Arabidopsis thaliana: one gene and its partners. The protein of the gene in region 1 interacts with the protein of each later gene in a pairwise test. Each region holds a gene or a part of one and is shown in the gene's direction. Other genes may lie near its edges.

What was found.
Region 2: the proteins of AT4G00238 (region 1) and AT5G52547 interact in a two-hybrid assay, tested with the Arabidopsis thaliana proteins (one large-scale study listed by BioGRID).
Region 3: the proteins of AT4G00238 (region 1) and AT1G24580 interact in a two-hybrid assay, tested with the Arabidopsis thaliana proteins (one large-scale study listed by BioGRID).
Region 4: the proteins of AT4G00238 (region 1) and CW7 interact in a two-hybrid assay, tested with the Arabidopsis thaliana proteins (one large-scale study listed by BioGRID).

The regions. Positions count from the first base shown.
Region 1 is NC_003075.7:103,305-106,990, reverse strand, and holds AT4G00238 (DNA-binding storekeeper protein-related transcriptional regulator), read left to right. Parts: upstream 1-1,769; 5' UTR 1,770-1,861; coding exon 1,862-2,899; 3' UTR 2,900-3,168; downstream 3,169-3,686. Other genes in the region: PLDBETA2 (phospholipase D beta 2), read left to right, coding at 42-239, 318-611. UniProt on the Arabidopsis thaliana protein: Transcription repressor that binds DNA in a sequence-specific manner, 5'-GCCT-3', to regulate the expression of PGR. Acts as a modulatory component for the glucose-triggered developmental leaf growth process.
Region 2 is NC_003076.8:21,325,332-21,329,483, reverse strand, and holds AT5G52547 (uncharacterized protein), read left to right. Parts: upstream 1-1,985; 5' UTR 1,986-2,036; intron 2,037-2,046; exon of another isoform or gene 2,047-2,177; intron 2,178-2,433; exon of another isoform or gene 2,434-2,552; 5' UTR 2,553-2,641; coding exon 2,642-2,644; intron 2,645-2,843; coding exon 2,844-3,161; 3' UTR 3,162-3,621; downstream 3,622-4,152. Other genes in the region: AT5G52550 (stress response NST1-like protein), read left to right, coding at 488-1,570.
Region 3 is NC_003070.9:8,708,158-8,711,366, forward strand, and holds AT1G24580 (RING/U-box superfamily protein), read left to right. Parts: upstream 1-1,783; 5' UTR 1,784-2,020; coding exon 2,021-2,416; 3' UTR 2,417-2,667; downstream 2,668-3,209. Other genes in the region: AT1G24570 (transmembrane protein, putative (DUF707)), read left to right, coding at 46-147, 210-323, 399-455, 545-611, 700-753, 857-934, 1,011-1,046, 1,215-1,334; AT1G24575 (DEAD-box ATP-dependent RNA helicase-like protein), read right to left, coding at 3,054-3,209.
Region 4 is NC_003070.9:21,859,459-21,866,743, forward strand, and holds CW7 (CW7), read left to right. Parts: upstream 1-1,823; 5' UTR 1,824-2,130; coding exon 2,131-2,162; intron 2,163-2,377; coding exon 2,378-2,567; intron 2,568-2,665; coding exon 2,666-2,740; intron 2,741-3,116; coding exon 3,117-3,223; intron 3,224-3,557; coding exon 3,558-3,618; intron 3,619-3,933; coding exon 3,934-3,993; coding exon of another isoform or gene 3,994-3,997; intron 3,998-4,072; coding exon 4,073-4,147; intron 4,148-4,687; coding exon 4,688-4,822; intron 4,823-5,163; coding exon 5,164-5,218; intron 5,219-5,790; coding exon 5,791-5,913; coding exon of another isoform or gene 5,914-5,960; exon of another isoform or gene 5,961-6,204; coding exon 6,205-6,482; 3' UTR 6,483-6,531; coding exon of another isoform or gene 6,532-6,558; 3' UTR 6,559-6,752; downstream 6,753-7,285. Other genes in the region: CF9 (Carbohydrate-binding protein), read left to right, coding at 310-1,455.

The DNA.
Region 1 (3,686 bases):
TCGTCATTGATTGATGAGTTTTGATTGAAACTGTATTATAGGGATTATGTCGAAAGAGCAGAAGATTTATGATATATGTTCATTCAAAAGGGATGGTTGTTGATGATGAGTATGTGGTAATTGGATCTGCAAACATAAACCAAAGATCAATGGAGGGGACAAGAGATACAGAGATTGCAATGGGAGCTTACCAGCCTCAACATACATGGGCACGACGACAGTCAGGTCCTCGGGGTCAGGTAATAGCACACAAAGATAGTACACACATGGTTTCATAGTCCTAGTCGTATCAATAATACTTGGTACATAATCTGCAGATCTACGGATATAGAATGTCGCTTTGGGCAGAACACATGGCACTGCTAGATGATTGCTTTGTGGAGCCAGAGAGTCTAGGGTGTGTAAGGAAAGTGAGAACAGTGGCGGAGGAGAACTGGGAACAGTTTAGGAGTGAGGAAGTGTCGGAGATGAGAGGACATCTGATGAAATATCCGGTGGAAGTTGATCGGAAAGGCAAAGTCCGACCACTTCCAGGAAGTGAGGAGTTCCCTGATGTCGGAGGAAACGTTGTTGGATCCTTTCTAGCCATACAGGAGAATCTCACTATCTAATCATAAGCAGAGTCGCATTTATTAAGAAGACCTTATATGTGTAAACAAACAACAATTGATCAGACTTTGTAAATAAACAAAGTTTGATGTTTCTCCTCAAGTTTGAATAACAAGTAAAAAGAAGCTACTTAATCCTAATTCTATTTAGAATAAGAAATCATGTACATGAAAAAGCTTTGGCCTGGCTATAAAATCCGAAATCCGAAAACCGATCCGGAACCGAACTTGAACCGAATAGTTACAAAATCCGAATGGATAATGAATTCTCCTATCCGAATTACTCGAACCGAATCCGATCCGAACCGAAATCCGAGAGGATATCCGAAAACTGAAAAATATATATATCCAAAAATATTATTTATATTTAGTTGTAATTTTATAATAAATAACAAAATATCCTAAATAATAAAGAAATTGGAAATCTTTTAGTTACATTTGTTAATAGTATACATACTTTTGCAAAATTTAACCAAATTTTAGTAAAGATTAAACCAATTTTTATTTAAGTTGAACAATTTTTAGCTCTTTAAAAACCGGTCCGAATCCGACACTTATCCGAACAAAAACCAAACCAAAGATTAGTAAAATCCGAACGGATAATAAATTTTCTATCCAAATTATCCGAATCCGAAAATATCCGATCCGAATTCGATCCGAAAATTCATAAAATCCGTACGGATAATAAGTTCTCCTATCCTAATGATCCGAATCCGAATATATCCGATTCGAAATCCGAATGTCCAAGCCTAGCCTGGCTACTAAACTTTGTCTATATTTAACGGCAAAGATCTCTAGCAGTAGTAGTATCATTCAAAAAATGAGAAGACTGTTACAGAGACTAAAGAGAGTGTGTACCATGCGTATCAGATTCAAACTAATAATGTTAGCAACCCCTGAAGAAGATAAGACTATATGCTTATTGTAGCCTTTATTCTCTGTTGAATCCTAGCAATGAACATTATAGGCAGAGCAAAACGACTAATATGAAATGGAGAACACTAGACAAGACCAACCGATGATACTTAGTCTAAAGTCAATACCTTGTCCCTATCAAGCCCACCAAAACTCTTAGCAGACAACATTCGAACAACCTTAATTTGTTGTTGGGCTTTGTTTAATTAGATTGTTTGTTAAATATAAAAGAGAGTGAAGAATGTTCAGCGTTAAAGGAAAAAAAGTCTCGCCGCTCACTAACCCTAAAAAAAGTAACTCTCTCACTCACTCTTCTTCATCATACCGAAAAAAATCCAATGGCTTCTTTGGAAAATCCAGCAATCGATTCTTCAAGCGAATTTGAGAGTTCTTCTGAAGAGATCTCTTCTTCTAAAGAAAGCAAACCCAAAGAAGCTCCCGTCACTGTTCCGTCAACAAAAACCCTAAACTCTCCTTCCGCCGCCGTGGCAGTTTCTGATGACTCAGAGTCAGAGAAGCAGTCATTCGTCTTAACCAGGCGGAAGAAGAAAGAAGGTGCTGCTGAATCACCGGCAGTGAAGTCAGGGAAGAAAGAAGGTGCTGCTGAATCACCGGCAGTGAAGTCAGGGAATAACGAAGGTGCTACTGAATCACCGGCGGTGAAGTCAGGGAAGAAGCGAGCTAGCGAAGGAACCACGTCAAGGGACATGCATGTCAAAAGAATTAAGAAAGAGGGCGATAACAAAAAGGGGCATGCTCAGAGAGTATGGAGTGAAGAAGACGAGATCTCTCTCCTGCAAGCAATGATCGATTTCAAAGCTGAGACAGGTACAAGTCCTTGGGATCATAAGGATAGGTTTTTTGATATCGCCAAGAAATCTATAAGCTTTGATGTTAGTAAAGTCCAGTTCTTTGACAAGATTAGAAGCTTTAAGAGAAAGTATTTTGGTGACCGGAAGGTGAGAAGTGTTGAATCGGATCATGATAAGAAGTGTTTGGGTTTGGCTGTTTCTTTTTGGGGATCTGATGGTGTGAGCCTTGAAACTCCTGTGAAGAAGAAAGTGAAAGATGAATCTGTTCTTGTTAAGGCTAATAGCAAGGAGAAGAACGTGAAACCTTTGGTTAAAGAAGATGAGCAAGTCGTGATTCTTGGAGAAGATTCGGAGTGGTTTGAGGAGTCTTTTCTTGTTCCGGTTATCGCTAGTCTCGGTTTGGATGAGTATTCTGTGAAGAAGAAGTGGAGCAAGGTGTCCGTGGAGACTAAGAAGAGGATTCAAGAGAAGATGAAGCTTGTGGATGCTAAGAAATGTGAGTTGTTGTTGGCGAACATGGATGTTTTGAAGGAGGTGACTTCAGTGCTTACTCAAACCAACTAAGAAGAAGAAGAGGAAGCTATTGGATTGTATATGTTTATCCGTTTAATCTCGGGTTTAATGAAGATGTAATGCCTTATTTTGTTATCTATCTTAGGCTTCATCTTTCTATCTACTCTAATGAACTTTTAGGACTTTGGATTCTCGTGTGAGAATTAGCTTTGTCTAACAAGCCTTTTGGTCGATGGTTGTAATGAATTAGCTAAGTTGTCTAACTAGCCTTTTGGTCTATGGTTATAATGAACTTTTAAGACTTTGTAAATGTGCTTCTTATATGAATGTCTCTCTACTCGTAACCAGAGTTATTACAAAACAAAGAAACACACAACAGAATGTGGGAGATTGTTAGCTATCATACCAATTGAATTTTTACATGTTGTGGTTACTACTAACTACTGTCCCAATTTCATATCACTTGTTGAGCTCTTGCTCTGCTTACACTCTCCTTTAGCTCAGCAACTACATGACTCATCCTCGGTCTATTCTTAGAACTAGAAGATGCACAAGCCATTGCTACTTCAGTGATCTTCCATGCCGAACCAGCATCAAACCTCTCCCCTAGCTTTGGATCCACAATGCCTCTGATATCTCCTGTCGACAGCATTAAAGTCGACTCAGTTATGTGTATGTTCTCTGCTGTTGTTCTTGAACGTGCAATCACCGGTTGGCCTGTGACAACCTCTAAAAGAACAACCCCGAAGCTCTAAACATCACTTTTCTCGCTTAATTCTTGCGGTCAAATGGTACCTTCATTTTGTAAAACAATGTCTACAGCAGCAAAAGACCAGTG
Region 2 (4,152 bases), on another chromosome or scaffold:
AATTAAGTAATCAGCTGGGTAACATCTGGTTGTGAAAAAGCTTTCTTGTTTAATGTTTTTGCATATAGCCATATAGAAAATAGAACTGTGTGGTCGTGCAGCTTTCATTAGGTTAAGAAAGCAGATGGGTTGGTTTGGTTTGGTATATTATTTTTGAGATCCCTGTTAACGCAAGTCTAATCTAGTATTGTTTTCTTTTGTAGAAAATGGGAGAAGTTAAGGGATGTTGGAAATTAGGACGAATGCTTTCAAAGGATAACTCTGCAAACTCCTACAACGTCTCCCTTCTCTTATCTCCTGTTGTTTCTGTTTGGGATTGTATTGTCCGTAAAATGAGGTATACCTACATACCTGAGTGGGTGTAGTAGTCATTGAGATCATCGCGCCTTGGTGTAGTGAGTTTGGTAGAATCAAAGTAAAAGGAAACAACCAACTAAAAGAAGAAGCCAGTTAACAAAAGCAAGGCAAACAAAGACTTGTAGCAATCATGGATAGCAGTAGCTCGATGTGCAAACAAGCTCAGCCAATTGTTAGAAAAGCCAGGAAGAAAAAAGTAAAAGGTGTAGTGGACCCAATTAAACAAGCTGAGAAGAAAAATAGACGTCTTGAGAAAGCTATTGCTACTTCTGCAGCAATTCGGGCTGAGCTAGAGAAGAAGAAGCAAATGAAGAAGGAAGGACAGCTAGAGGCAGCAGATGAAGAAGATTCAGCAGATGCTGCAAAGAAGAAGCAGGAGAGAGACGAACTGGAGCGTATCAAACAAGCAGAGAATAAAAAGAATCGGCTGGAGAAATCCATCGCTACTTCTGCAGCCATCATGGCTGAGCTAGAGAAGAAGAAGCTTAGAAAACTTGAGGAACAAAAGAGATTGGCTGAGGAAGGTGCTGCCATTGCTGAGAAGAAAAAGAGACGTCTTGAGAAAGCTATTGCTACTACTGCAGCGATCCGCGCTGAGCTAGAGAAGAAGAAGCAAATGAAGAAGGAAGGACAGCTAGACGCAGCAGTTGAAGAAGATTCAGCATATGCTGCAAAGAAGAAGCAGGAGAGAGAGGAACTGGAGCGTATCAAACAAGCAGAGAGGAAAAAGAGACGTATTGAGAAATCCATCGCTACTTCTGCAGCCATCAGGGCTGAGCTAGAGAAGAAGAAGCTTAGAAAACTTGAGGAACAAAGGCGATTGGATGAGGAAGGTGCCGCCATAGCAGAGGCTGTTGCTCTGCACGTCTTACTTGGCGAAGATTGTGATGACTCATACCGAAACACGCTAAACCAAGAAACAGGTTTCAAGCCATGGGACTATACTACCAAAATCAATCTTTTTAGTGGTGGAATAAACAGATTCTTTCCTCACCAACGGTGCTCAAGCTACGCGGTTCATGATAACAACAGAACAAGAGACAGTAACTGGTCGTCAGTCTCATATGAGCCTTTCGCAAGGGGATGGGATAACAACAACAACAACATGGGAATATCAGCTGATTTGTTTGATACTCAAGCTGTGTCGTCACTACAGATCTCTGAGAATACTGACGTTGACGCAATTGTCTTCAATGGGATGTTCAGAAGATGACGACTGTATCATAATTCCCAAGCATTTGTAACTTATTAAAAGTTTGTGTGCTGTTTTTTATTTTACACAACCAAAACAACTTTTTCGTCTCTTACACTGTGCAAATCCTTCATCTCTCTTTAGCTTTTTAGTGAAGTGAGACTCATACGATCTGTGTTTTTGTTTCCTTTGTGGTTGTACTTAATTTAATCCTTCTCAATTCACTGGCATTTTCAATACTACTAGGCTACTAGCAATAGCTTCAAACTTCAAAGTAAAAATTCGGACGTTGCGAGAATCATTTAACTAAAATGAAACGACGTGGTCTCTGACTTGGTGAGTGACTAATTTTTGACGTTCCAATCACCGGTTCGGTTTTATGTTAAACCGGATAGACATTTACTAGTTACTAGTTAGTAGTTACAGCCATAAATTCTGATTCTGGTGCTCCTGCTTTTTTTTATTGAAGTCTGCGTGCTTTAGCTTTGTAAGTTGCTTTCCATTGATACTCTCTAAATCTTTACAACATTCTTCATCTGTTATTAGTTCCTAAGTATATGAACTCTCTGCTTCTTCTCTCCAGCGTTGTTCAGTTGTGTGTCGAGATGTGCTCGAAGTAGGTGACTAGGTTGACTAACTAGTGATTAGGGTTTTCTGTTCAATTTTGGCTTGTTTCTGGTGTTTTTCTTAATTGAGCTGTTTTGAACTATTGATTATTGTGAGTTCATCACACTTGGAACAGACAATAAATTTGACTACAGATCCTGTTCAATAGAGAGAGCTAACTGCAATTCTCGTGGAGAAGCCTCTGTTTTTTTAATAGTGATTAGGAAATATTGAGTTACTGTAGTATTGTTAGATTGGTTTATGCATTTCTTTTGTAGCTTTTGATGAACAATTGGTCATATGCCATTATTTTCGGTTTTATGGTCCTTATGTGATACATTACTATTAAGTGTTTATTTTGTACTCTTACTGAAATCTTGAGAGCTGTTATTTTCAGGTGGATGCAGAATTGCAGACTATACATTCTTTTTTAAGTTCTTGAGCTTGGAACAATACTTTTCTCACTCTAGTTGTTTCTGCAATCAAATGGTAACACCAATCTCTAATGCAATTTTTGTTCATGTCAGTTCAAACTCTTTCAAGTTGATTTTTGTCTAGCTTTTTCTATTGAGGATCAAACTTGTAAACACGCGATTGAAACCAACTGTAGAATGACAGATCTTGTTTGTTATTCTGTCTTTATGTTACTTTGTGTCATCTTCTAAATACTTTTACATATACCTTGCAGGATACTGGTGGGTTTGTAGATGAAGAAAGCGATGGATCTCAAGCTTCTGCACAGTCATCAAGCTCCCAGGCAGTTAGCCATTCAGATGAAGCAATGTCTCGTCCATCAGGTGTTAAGGCGGCAAAGGCCGCGAAAGCTAAAAGGACTCTGTCAGTGATTAAGAGCATGTGGGAGATTAAGCAGAAGGAATTTGAATTGAACGAGAAGCTTAGCAAGAAGACGTTGTTGGAGACTCTACTTCGAAAAACAGCGCCGCTTAGTGATCTTGAAATGGCTTTAAAGAACAAACTTATCACTGACATATTGTCAAATGCTTGAATGGTGTCTTTTATGTCTTGAAAGTTAGTCTTTTTTGTTTCGGTTAACGCTTCTTCACTTGTTTTTGTTCAGTTAGGTTATGAATCTTAAGTTGTTTGTGTTCTGTTCTAAATTGGTTTGGTTGTGCTCTGTTCTAATTGGTTTGTGTTAGTGTTCAAATGGATTGGTTTGTGTTCTGTTCTAAATGAATTTAAATTCGATTTCAGAGTTTAAAAGGATGAAGTCCATGTCGAGATGCAAGAGTTCAAGGAAGCATAAATAGCAAGTACATGCAAGTGTTGTTCTGTTTTGTGTAGAAGTATATAGGCTATGGTCGTGTGAAGATTCACTTGAGTTTGTGTGTCAAATTTTGTGAGTGTATCAAGTTTTGAGAGTGTAGAGTCTGTGTCAAGTTTTGAGAGTCAAATGTATCCCAAACACTTTCACATTTTTTTCAAATGTTTATATTTTCATAGAGGTTGTTAAAATTTAAAAGGTAAAAACCCTTCAGATGTATCCCAAACTTTTGATTTTGTATTATTTCAATTGGTAAATATGGAGATGCTTTTATTTGGTTAAAATGAAGCGACGTCGTTTAATAAAGTCAGCTGGCTTTATAACTTGATGAATGACAATTGACTAATTTTGTCCGAATCACCGGTTCGGTTTTCTCGTTTAACCGGATAGTCCTTTACTGGTTACAGCCATAAATTCCGATTCTGCTGCTCCTGCTTTTTTTTTTTTATTGAAGTCTGCGTCTGTGAGATCACGCTTTAGCTTTGTAAGTTGCTTTCCATGGATACTCTCTAAATCTTTACAACATTTTTCATCTGTTATTAGTTCCCAAGTTGCATATGAACTCTCTGCTTCTTCTCTCCATCGTTGTTCAGTTGTAATCGAAGTAGGTGCCTAGGTTGACTAGCTAGTAATTACCACCACTCAACGAAATCCATGAGGTTTTGGCGATGAATTTAGGGATTTCTGTCCAATTTTGAATTGTTTCTGGTGTTTC
Region 3 (3,209 bases), on another chromosome or scaffold:
TTTTTTTTATCTGGTTTCTTGACTCTCTCATATTGTGAACATAAGGTGGTATGCAAAGAGATTCTTGCACCCGGACATTGTAGCACGATACGATTATATATTCATATGGGATGAGGATCTTGGAGTTGATCACTTTAATGCAGAAGAGTGAGTTTCTCTTACTCTTCTCACTTCCATTTAAAAATTTCTAACTATGTTTGTTGTTGTAGATACATACACATAGTGAAGAAGCACGACCTTGAGATTTCGCAGCCTGGTTTGGACCCAGAGACTGGGTTTAATTGGCAGATCACCAAAAGAAGAGAACATAGTGAAGTCCACAAGTATATATAACGGCCTCTCTAGATTATTTTTGTTACATTACAAAATGGTTCTGAATATGGCTTGAACCTTAGCAGGGAGACAGATGAGAAACTCGACTGGTGCTCTAATCCTCCCCGGCCTCCATGTGCTGCGTATGTTTCAAAAAACGTCTCTATCAAACTCAAGTTTCAGACATATTTAAACCATTAGTAACTTCGTTATGTCTTTAATAAAAAAACAGATTCGTGGAGATAATGGCTCCTGTATTCTCAAGAGATGCATGGCGCTGCGTGTGGCATATGATCCAGGTTACACTTACTTTATTATCTATTGGCTCCTTCATATCTTCATATAATGTCTCCTTCTTGCACCTAATTGTATATGAACCAAAAACAGAATGATTTGGTTCACGGTTGGGGTCTTGACTTTGCACTGAGAAGATGTGTTGAGGTACACAAAAGTTCACTATGTTGTTGCTTAGTGTTTGTACAAATGTTCTTGCATGTTTGATCAATTAATGAAGAGGCTTTCATTTTTATATGTGAAAATGAAGGAGCCTGCATTTGAGAAGATAGGAATAGTAGACTCACAGTGGATCGTTCATCAATTTATCCCTTCCCTTGGCAACCAGGTTACTTAACTTCTTCACTTTCTCCTTTCCAAAACCAATTAAAATTTCTCATTCTTTCTCCTTTTCTTGCCAATAGGGGAAAGCAGATAACGGGAAAGCACCATGGCAAGGGGTAAGCAAAACTTGTTTTTGTCTCAATACAAATTTTCCTCTTGTTTTGGAGAGCTTTCATGTGTTCTCTTCCCTATAACAAAACCTAGGGCTATCTTAGATTTTCTAGATACCTTGACAAGAAAGCAACCAAATGGACCAATCTGTCTTAAACTTTTGTGTGTTGCAGGTGAGGGATAGATGTCAAATGGAATGGAAAATGTTCGAGAACAGAGTGGAAGCCGCGGAAAAGGATTATTTCAGATCGTTACAAGTTGAAAGCCCATCCAATTCAACAACTTCTCATTAGTACCTTACCAATACTAGTTGTAGCCAGGATATTTTAAGGTGCTATATAACATTTACATATAGATCTTATAGGTTATAGAGATACCAATCTCTTTGATCCGCACAACGATCAGATTCCATTGAATAATAGAAACAGGACTGTGAATGATTTTAATCACAAAAAGATTGTGAGGAGCTGAAACAGAACAGGTGTGTGAACTTTGACAAAGATTTGTCCAATTTTTCATGTGTCAGCATGTCTGGTCTAGTGACGTGGCATGCAACCGTGAAACGTTGAGTCTTCCACGTGTCGATCAAGAATCGACCTCGGGAGAACAAGGAGCTCTCCACAACGCACAACTTGGTTGGCTGATCACAATACGTGTCAGAAGTCTAACAACAAAACAGACCACAGAAAAAAAAAAAAAACAGAGTTTTTGTTTTATTTTAAATTTTCTGGTTATAAAAGACGAACCAACCTATTATTGAGTCACAATCAAATTGTGGGAGATGAGTCTCTAACGATAACCTCTCTCTTGGTGACACGTGTTTAGACCACCGCTGCTTAATAAACCCAATCGCCCACCGGAACATGAGTGGCGGCTATACTTCCTCTCTATTTCTTCTCTTCTAAGGATTTTTCGTGTCTCAAAACTTTCAAAGACTCTCAGTTTCTATCTCTGTGAATATAATCTTAGTTATAAAAAAATGGGTCTCTCGCATTTTCCAACAGCGTCAGAAGGAGTACTACCACTTCTGGTGATGAACACGGTTGTTTCAATCACTCTGTTGAAGAACATGGTGAGGTCTGTTTTTCAAATTGTTGCATCCGAGACTGAATCTTCCATGGAGATAGACGACGAGCCTGAAGATGATTTTGTTACTAGAAGAATCTCGATAACACAGTTCAAGTCTCTATGTGAGAACATAGAAGAGGAAGAAGAAGAGAAAGGTGTGGAGTGTTGTGTGTGCCTTTGTGGGTTTAAAGAGGAAGAGGAAGTGAGTGAGTTGGTTTCTTGCAAGCATTTCTTCCACAGAGCTTGTCTAGACAACTGGTTTGGTAATAACCACACCACATGCCCTCTTTGCAGGTCCATTCTCTAGTGGTGGAATCTTGTTTTACACTTTCCTTTTGTTTTGCTTTGCTATAGGAAAATACCACATTCTCTATCCTCTGTTTTACCCTTTTTGGTGTTTATGTTTTTCCCCTTCTTTTTTCTTGGTATGGAGAAGGGGTTTTTTCATAATAAAGGACTATACAATTGATGTGTGTGAATGTTTTCCCCATTTTTCTTGAGTTGAAAAAGGGGTTTGTTTTTCTTCTCTAATAATGGAAATGTCATATTTTCAACTCTTTAAGCTCTCTTTTATTTTAACATTTTAGAAAGAATTGTATTCTTATATCTTCCATTTTATCTCATGTATTCATGATTAGTGTGACAGTCTTGCATTTAAATGTGAAACTAAGACCATAACTTGTAGCATAATTAGTACAATTCCAATTCAAACCAGATTTTGCATGTTATCGGAAAAAACAATTATGTGGAACTAGAAGATCCAAGAGTTCATGAAATATACTAATTTGTAGTCTTTATTTCCATGCACCTTTCTAGACAAAGGAAACAGCACCCATTTTGTTACATAACAAAAATAAAAACCAGAAGAAGAAACACAAATCATACAATACAATCTATATATTATGGTTTGTCATTTATTACTTTTTATTCTTCGTCCACATAGACTAGGCGCTCTTAGTCATCCACTTACTGAACTTCGTATGCTCAAACTTGATGAATTGCTCAGCTTCTTTGTCAACATCCTCTGCTTTTGCAACCTCTCTAGTGCCCATATTCTCGCTCTTTGACCTCCTCATATCTGCATACTCGAAGCCCTGGAT
Region 4 (7,285 bases), on another chromosome or scaffold:
GTAATATTTGGTCAGCAAAATTGGTTTTGCCATAACCGGAAAGATTCCAAAACAATCGTCACTTTAAAATCAAACCAACCGAACATCGAAAAGATTCGTCTGTTGTTGTCTTCTTCTTCTTCAACTTGTTCTTTGTTTCTCTTTCGCCTCTTGAGTTCCTCACTTCTTGGTTCTACCTTCATTCATGTCTCTATCCAAATCTATCTGGTAACTCAAAATCATCACTTCTTCTACTCAACAATTTCACAATCCCATCCCCAATTTTACAATCCCTAGATCTCCCTCCCTCTTCAATTCGCTGTAGTTTTCATGGACCTTGTTCGATTGAGAGACATAGGTTCAATTTCACCTCAGAGAAGAAGGAAATGGCTGATTCTATTAGCGGTTTTCGGTGTTTCGGGTTACGGAGTTTACAGGGTTTACAATTCTCAATACATCGCTAAGAAGACGAAGCGTCTTATGAAACTCTTCTCAGGCATTGTTTCATTCGCCGAAATGGTCATCGATTCCGCGGAGACGATAAGTATCGTTTCTCGAGATTTGAAAGAGTTTCTCGAATCAAATTCCCACGAAATCCCTAATAGCTTGAAACAGCTATCGAAAATCACCAAATCAAAAGAGTTCACTGATTCTCTAGCTAGGGTTTCTGAAGCTGTAGCGATTGGTGTTTTCCGTGGGTATAATTCCGATCCAAACGTCGAAAAAGAATCGAATTTGAGTGTAGTTGATAGAGTTTTCTCAGAGGAAGGAGCTGGTTTTGTTTCTGTTGTTGTTGGTAGTTTTGCTAAGAATCTTGTTCTTGGATTTTACTCTGGTGAGATTGAGATTGGTAGTGATGATTCTTTAAAACCTAGATGGATGAATTTGCTTAGTGATGATAAGTGTAGAGAGCTTTTAGCAGATTGTATTGAGAGATTCACTAGCTCAGCTGTATCGGTGTATATCGATAAAACGGTTGGTGTTAATACTTATGATCAGATATTCGCTGGTTTGACGAATCCGAAACATCGAGATAGTGCTCGAGATGTTCTTGTTTCGGTTTGTAATGGAGCTCTTGAGACGTTCATGAGAACTTCTCATGATGTCTTCACATCTTCAGGAGAGAAAACCGATTCCTCCTTGAGGAAGTCGGAGAATCGAGAAAACGGATGGGCAGAGGCGCTTTCGACTACTTTAGCAGTGCCGAGTAATAGGAAGTTCATGTTTGATGTTACGGGAAGAGTGACGCTAGAGACGATGAGATCAATTCTTGAGTTTGTAATCTTGAAAACGTCACAAAGTTTTAAGAGGAGTTTGGATGTGATTCATGAAGAAGTTACAGAGAGAGGACGTCAAGTAGTTGGATACGTTGGTGCCAAATCTTCAGTGATAATCACTGTTTGTCTTGCGGTTTACTTTCACATCTTTAACCGCTTTGTTCGAGGCCCTCCGGTTTGTTTAAGCCAGCAATTCTAGTTAATCGGATCGATCTATTAGCTTGTTAGAGTTGTTAGGGACATTAGATCTTCAGCCTTCCATATTCTTATTGGTAAGTTGGAGCTGAATAGCGTAGTAGAGTCTTAGCAGTGTTATGTACCCACATATTCATTATTGTTTATTTATAGAGGATTCTTGAGATAATCTCTGCATCTATGCTACCATTTCCAGTCAAACCATATAATGTATTCGAATGGATGTTGCCGGCGGAGCGGACTAGGCAACTCTATTTCTTGGGGCGGATTTATCCGCATCAAATTTATCTTTATGTAAGAGCCGTATGTAGTAAAATATTTTTAATTTTTTCGGGCATATTAAGACGGACTATAATTCATGAATGGTAAATAAAAAATAATCTACTCCACAAACGGATTTATCCGCTAACAACCATGAAAGAGAAAAAAGATTTAATTGTCACTGTAGCAAATCGGCAGTTATTGAGGTTTCCCCGCTCCGATTGACGCAACACGCCAAGATTTTGCCAACGCTAAAGCAAATCAGATCGAAGATTTGTGCTCTCTTCTATCTCTCACTCGCATCGAATTCAGCAAAAATTAAAATTGAAGAACGAGTCAAAGATAGAGAGAGAAAAACCCTATTCGATCACGAGATCGTAATCAACGTTTTTAGCAGAATCATCGGAGGGTAGAAAAAATGCTCAACGATGGCGAAGTAACTCCTTCTAGGTAAACAAGTCAGATTCTTTTGTTGTTCTATGTTTGATCTCGTGCTTAGTTCCAGTCACTGCTCAAATTGAAATGAGATAGTTTTCTATTTGATGAATTTTGTTATTCCACCATGAAATTGCTTAATTCGAATACTAAGATTTCGTAGTAATTCAGCATTTATTTGATTCGATCTTGCTTAAATTGATTTTGTTGTCTGCTTCATGTTTTTTCAGACATGAGATTCTGAGTATGGTGAAGAAGCACTCAAAGTCATTAGGAAAGACGTCTCTTGATGAGCAAGATGCGTCTGATGTAGAAATGGACTCTAATTTCTGGCATGGTGTGTTTGATGTGTACTTTGTTCGTTGCATGGAGTCGAGGAGGCGACAAGACGATGATCTTCTGTTTTTTGTCAGGAAATTGGTATGTAAAGCTTGGACCTTTTTCTCTCAGTCGAAAACTTAGAACTTTGTTATCATCCTTCTTGTTAATGTTGTTGAGTGTTTTGTTGCTTTTGCCAGAGCTGTAAGTCATATGGTTTGACTGAAAATGAGGATGCACCAGCTCCTTACTTTGTACGCAGGTGGGCACCTAAGGTAAAAAACTGTACGAAATAATACAGATACCTAGTTAGATCTCACTACATGAGGTTTGGTTTTGACATGTAACATTTCAACTGCGATGTAAAAATTGTATATTAACAAGGTCTTAGATTGCAACTCCCCTGAAGGTGATGGAAATATTAATTTTACTTCTTTTCGGGTGAGGGATTAAAGTAAGCTAGAGTACTACGTGCTTATTGTAAAGGATTGTCTTTTCTGGCCTACATGCTAAAGCTTTTCACGATCCATCATATCTTATTTAGACCATGGGACAGAGACACTTCGAGTAACCATTTATTTGTTGTGTTGCACCTTGTATGTATTGTCTACAAACATATGATAATGCATTTCTTTCTTACTTGTAAAGCAGTTAGATGAGCTGCTTGGTGAAAGTCTGGCTGAAGTTGATTGGAGGAAATCATTTTATTTGAACATGATTGCCCACACATCGTTCACTGTTACTGTTGCGATTTGCAGGTAACCGTTTCAGTCAGATTGTGATTAGCGGCATCCTGTACTAATTTCATGTTGTCTAATTTACAGCAGTTGTCAATTCTTGTTCTGTTATTGCTAATATTACTATCCTTCTTTCCTGTTTGGGGTTCAAACTCATCTTATTGCATCAATCATTACTTCAGTCTAGCTATTTATTAGGTTGGAATCTCAGATACCATCTTCTTAGTTTCAGTGATTAGGCCTTGAGTCATTTTTATGACATGTTCTCTGGTCTATATACTACTTATCATATGACTTTTTGTCTTTCCATTTGACTGCATCATGGTAACTTTGTTTGAACTACTTGTGTTTTTAGTAATGAGGCCCTTAAGACGTACCAAGGAAGTAAAGACACAAAACTATCTCCTATATACAAGGTTAGAGATCCTAAGAGTTTTGGATAATATTACTCTTGACTTTTCAACTCTTCTATAATCTTTTCATATGAAAAAGAAACTGAAGCCAAAGAGTAGTTATATACTCTGCTGTTCAAAATATATCAGTGCAGCTTTGTTCTAATCATCAACCTATTAAGAAAAGAGTAAGGAAACGGAATATGAATTCAGTTTTGTTTTCATAAGGAGAGGACTTTTCACATGAGTCTTGGACCAAGCATATGGATATTTCTTTGGTTTCATTTTCTGTAAGTCAATAGTAATCATGTTCTCTAATCTGACATTCATATTGTGCAGGTTGTAAAAACTGTATATGCATCACCTAGTCGTGTTAATTTTCATCTGGACTCAAAGAAGGCAAGTATAGTCGCTTTTCTCATACCAATGTTTGTCCTTTTGGAATTTGTGTTTGATGTTTCCATTGTTGTTTACCTAGGAAGTGGAAACAACACCTGCCTACCCAGAAATTTGTTTTGCCGTAGATGATTTTGACTCAACCTTTGATGCTGTGGTAACAAATTTTCTTCTCCCTTTTTGTTGTATTGTCCTTCCAACTGTTATATTATGTAGTCATTTCGTTCAAAGAAACTCTAAACATGAATGTCAAAGGAATTATGACATTTTGTTCATAATGAAATCGGCTCTGGAAGAATAGTTTTTAGTTGAGGAAATATGCATGAACTCCCCTTTGTCACTAGGGTGAAGTTACGTGCATTCTTAGTTTCTCCTTAACTGGATAGTAAAATCTTTTGTAGGATACGTTTGTTGGCTTTTGGTACAGGACTGGAGGATCCAGATAATATTATTTCAACTACCTCTTGCGGTGCTTTAACATCCTCTCCTTATTTGAGTTTAGTACCTGCTATTTATTATCTTCTTCAGAGGATTGGCCTGTCTTCTTCTTTAGTTTTGCTTAGGCGTAGAGGAGTTTGGCTTTATGATTCCTATAAATAACTTAAGTCGTATGGTTAGGTTTCATGCATGGAAGTTGTTATACTGACCATAGTTTTTTTCCAACCTTGTTCATTGGCTTTGTCATTGATGTTTTCAGGTTCTGACAGATAAAGATCATTGCTATTGCGTACTACTTAATTCTCACGATGGGGCAGCCTTTCCAAGTGCAACTGTTAAAGATTCGAGTGATTCTAATACGAATGCTGACCCTAGAACTGTGAAAGATCCTAAGGTCTAGTTTTTTCCCACCTATGCTTCACTATTTTCAGCAGTTGCTGCCAATCATCTATCAATTATTCATTTGCCACCTGCTATGAGTTTCAAATAGATTCCTTAATTTGTGGTTAATGCTTGAAAATATCTTGTAACCATGTCATACAGAGGAATATGTCGGTAGTTTCACTGATGCTTGCAACGGTCGATCTTAAACAAATTAACTAAAGTATTGTTTGTGATTTTTGTAAAGATGATTTAACTTCAAGCTCAATGGTTTTCAAAAGGCCTATGGACACATTACATGGTCGTGACTTTCTAATGAGAAAGAAATTGACATGCTGGTGCTTTTGGTTGCAGGTTACTCTGTTTTCTGGGTTTGTCAGCTATCAGATGGTTCGAGAAGCCTATGAAGGTCACTTTACAGTTTCTTTTCTATTTCTTATTCAGTTTTAGAACCTAGTTCAATTCTCCAGCAACTTTTGTAGTTATGGTTTACTTGCCTTAGTCTTCTAGTACTTAGCACTATCATTGTCGATCTCGGTCTTTCATATTTCTCCCAAAATATTTGATGGAAAGTATATATTAAGGGTCCATGATAGTACGGAACTTGGTCTCGAGCTTGACTCCACTATAGCACACAGAATTCATTAGTGGTTATTCATGTCAGGGAAACATGCAGTCTTAATATTCATGCCTTTACTCATTTACTCAAAAAGTAAAGTCGAAATTTTTGGAAGTAGTATGGTTCGTTTAGAGATCAAGGAGGTGTGAATATGAAACGGTACCCAACCTGACAACCTCAAGATGGCTGGACTACAAAATTAACTTTTGTAGACATGGAATTTTGAGATATTAAGAGCTAAAAGACCTAAAGGAACCTATTGCTTGTTTCCTTGTCTATATAGGCTGAGATCGCTTTCGTTGATTTGGGCTAATTAATATTTTCACGCTTTATGTTTTTTCATCTAATAACTTTTATTACAGGGGGGAGGAATCGGTTTGGAAGTCTCCTATCTCTCGGTCATATTACAGGAAAAGCAGACAGACTTTATATGAGAGGCCCAGGAGGACGTGGAGAAGTTGAAGTAGCTGTTTCTGGCGTTGTAGGTACTTTTCATTTCTTATGCTTGAATGGCTCTTTATTTTCCTGTTAGTGTTTTGTTTCCCTATTTTCTCGAGTGTTACAGTGCAGTTAGTAATATTCCATGGAAGATAAAAAAAAAAAAGTAAAAACATAGAGAATGCCCTAGCCAACAATTGTCTTAGGTCGGATTGTCTTAATAGCAGCAATATTTAAGAAGTACAATCGCCAAAATTTAAGAGTAGGAGACTTGTTGAAATGTATATTGAAGACGTAGTATGGTTTAAAGGATGATTGTATAGAATTGCTTTTCTCAGATCAGAGCCAAGTAGTTTTAGGGCCTGTTTCACCTATGTCTTCAAAGAAGAGCATCGATCTCGGATCCATTTTCCGTAAAGCAGCCTCTGTTGCATCTGTCGCAGCTAAACATGCAATAGCAGCTGCTACTGCCTCTTATGATGAAGACGAGATGTTCCCTCTTAAATGCTGCTTAATGTCCATTTCATTACCATGGGACACTATTGCTCATGATCTTTTATTCAAGGTAACAAATGATTTCTCTTTAGCCACACCGGTCGTCAACAATAGACACTAATAGATCTTTTCGATATTGCTGATCGATTCCACTAATCGTCTTTATTTAGGCAACTCCACCAGTCAACATGGAGTAGCACACTCTGGAATGAAGCGTAGGAAACAGAAGTTTGTGTGTTTTGTCTAAATGTTTTTTTTTTTTGTACTTTGATTGAATATTCCTTTTGTGATGTTACTCGACTATGTGGTTTACCACAACCACTGTTATTACCTCAAGGAATAAATGAAAGTAAAGTTGTGAATTTGCAATCATCAAGTCTATATGTTTTGGCTACTCTTCTTGTTTAGTATAATGTGGACTCGCTCAGCCTATACTTTGACAAACAGAATGAATTTCGGTTAGTTAATCAAGGTCCGGTTATTTATATAAAACTTAAGTTCGGTTCGGATCGATAAATCTTTGATTCAGTTTGGTTCGGTTTTTAGGTCGATCCCTATGAGATACAGATGTCTTGCATAGAAAGTATAGAAGATATGGTATTTAAACATGTGAAATAAAACAGCTTTTTGCCATCTTTTGTTGGACTTTACTTGAGAATGTGGAATGCTAAAGAATAAAAAGAAATTAGGGTAGACAAATAAGGAGGAAGCACATGAATCCAACTCTTGGTGGTAGACATTTCTTATTAGATGACAAAACTCTGTTTTAGGTTAAACTAAGGTGTATAGCTTTCTAAGAAAAGGAATTGTGTTAAAATATAGATCGGTTGTTAGACATTTCCTAATTAGATGACAAAACTCTGTATCTGAGGTTAAACTAATGCTTCTATTTTAATAACAAAAAGGAATTATGTTAATATATAG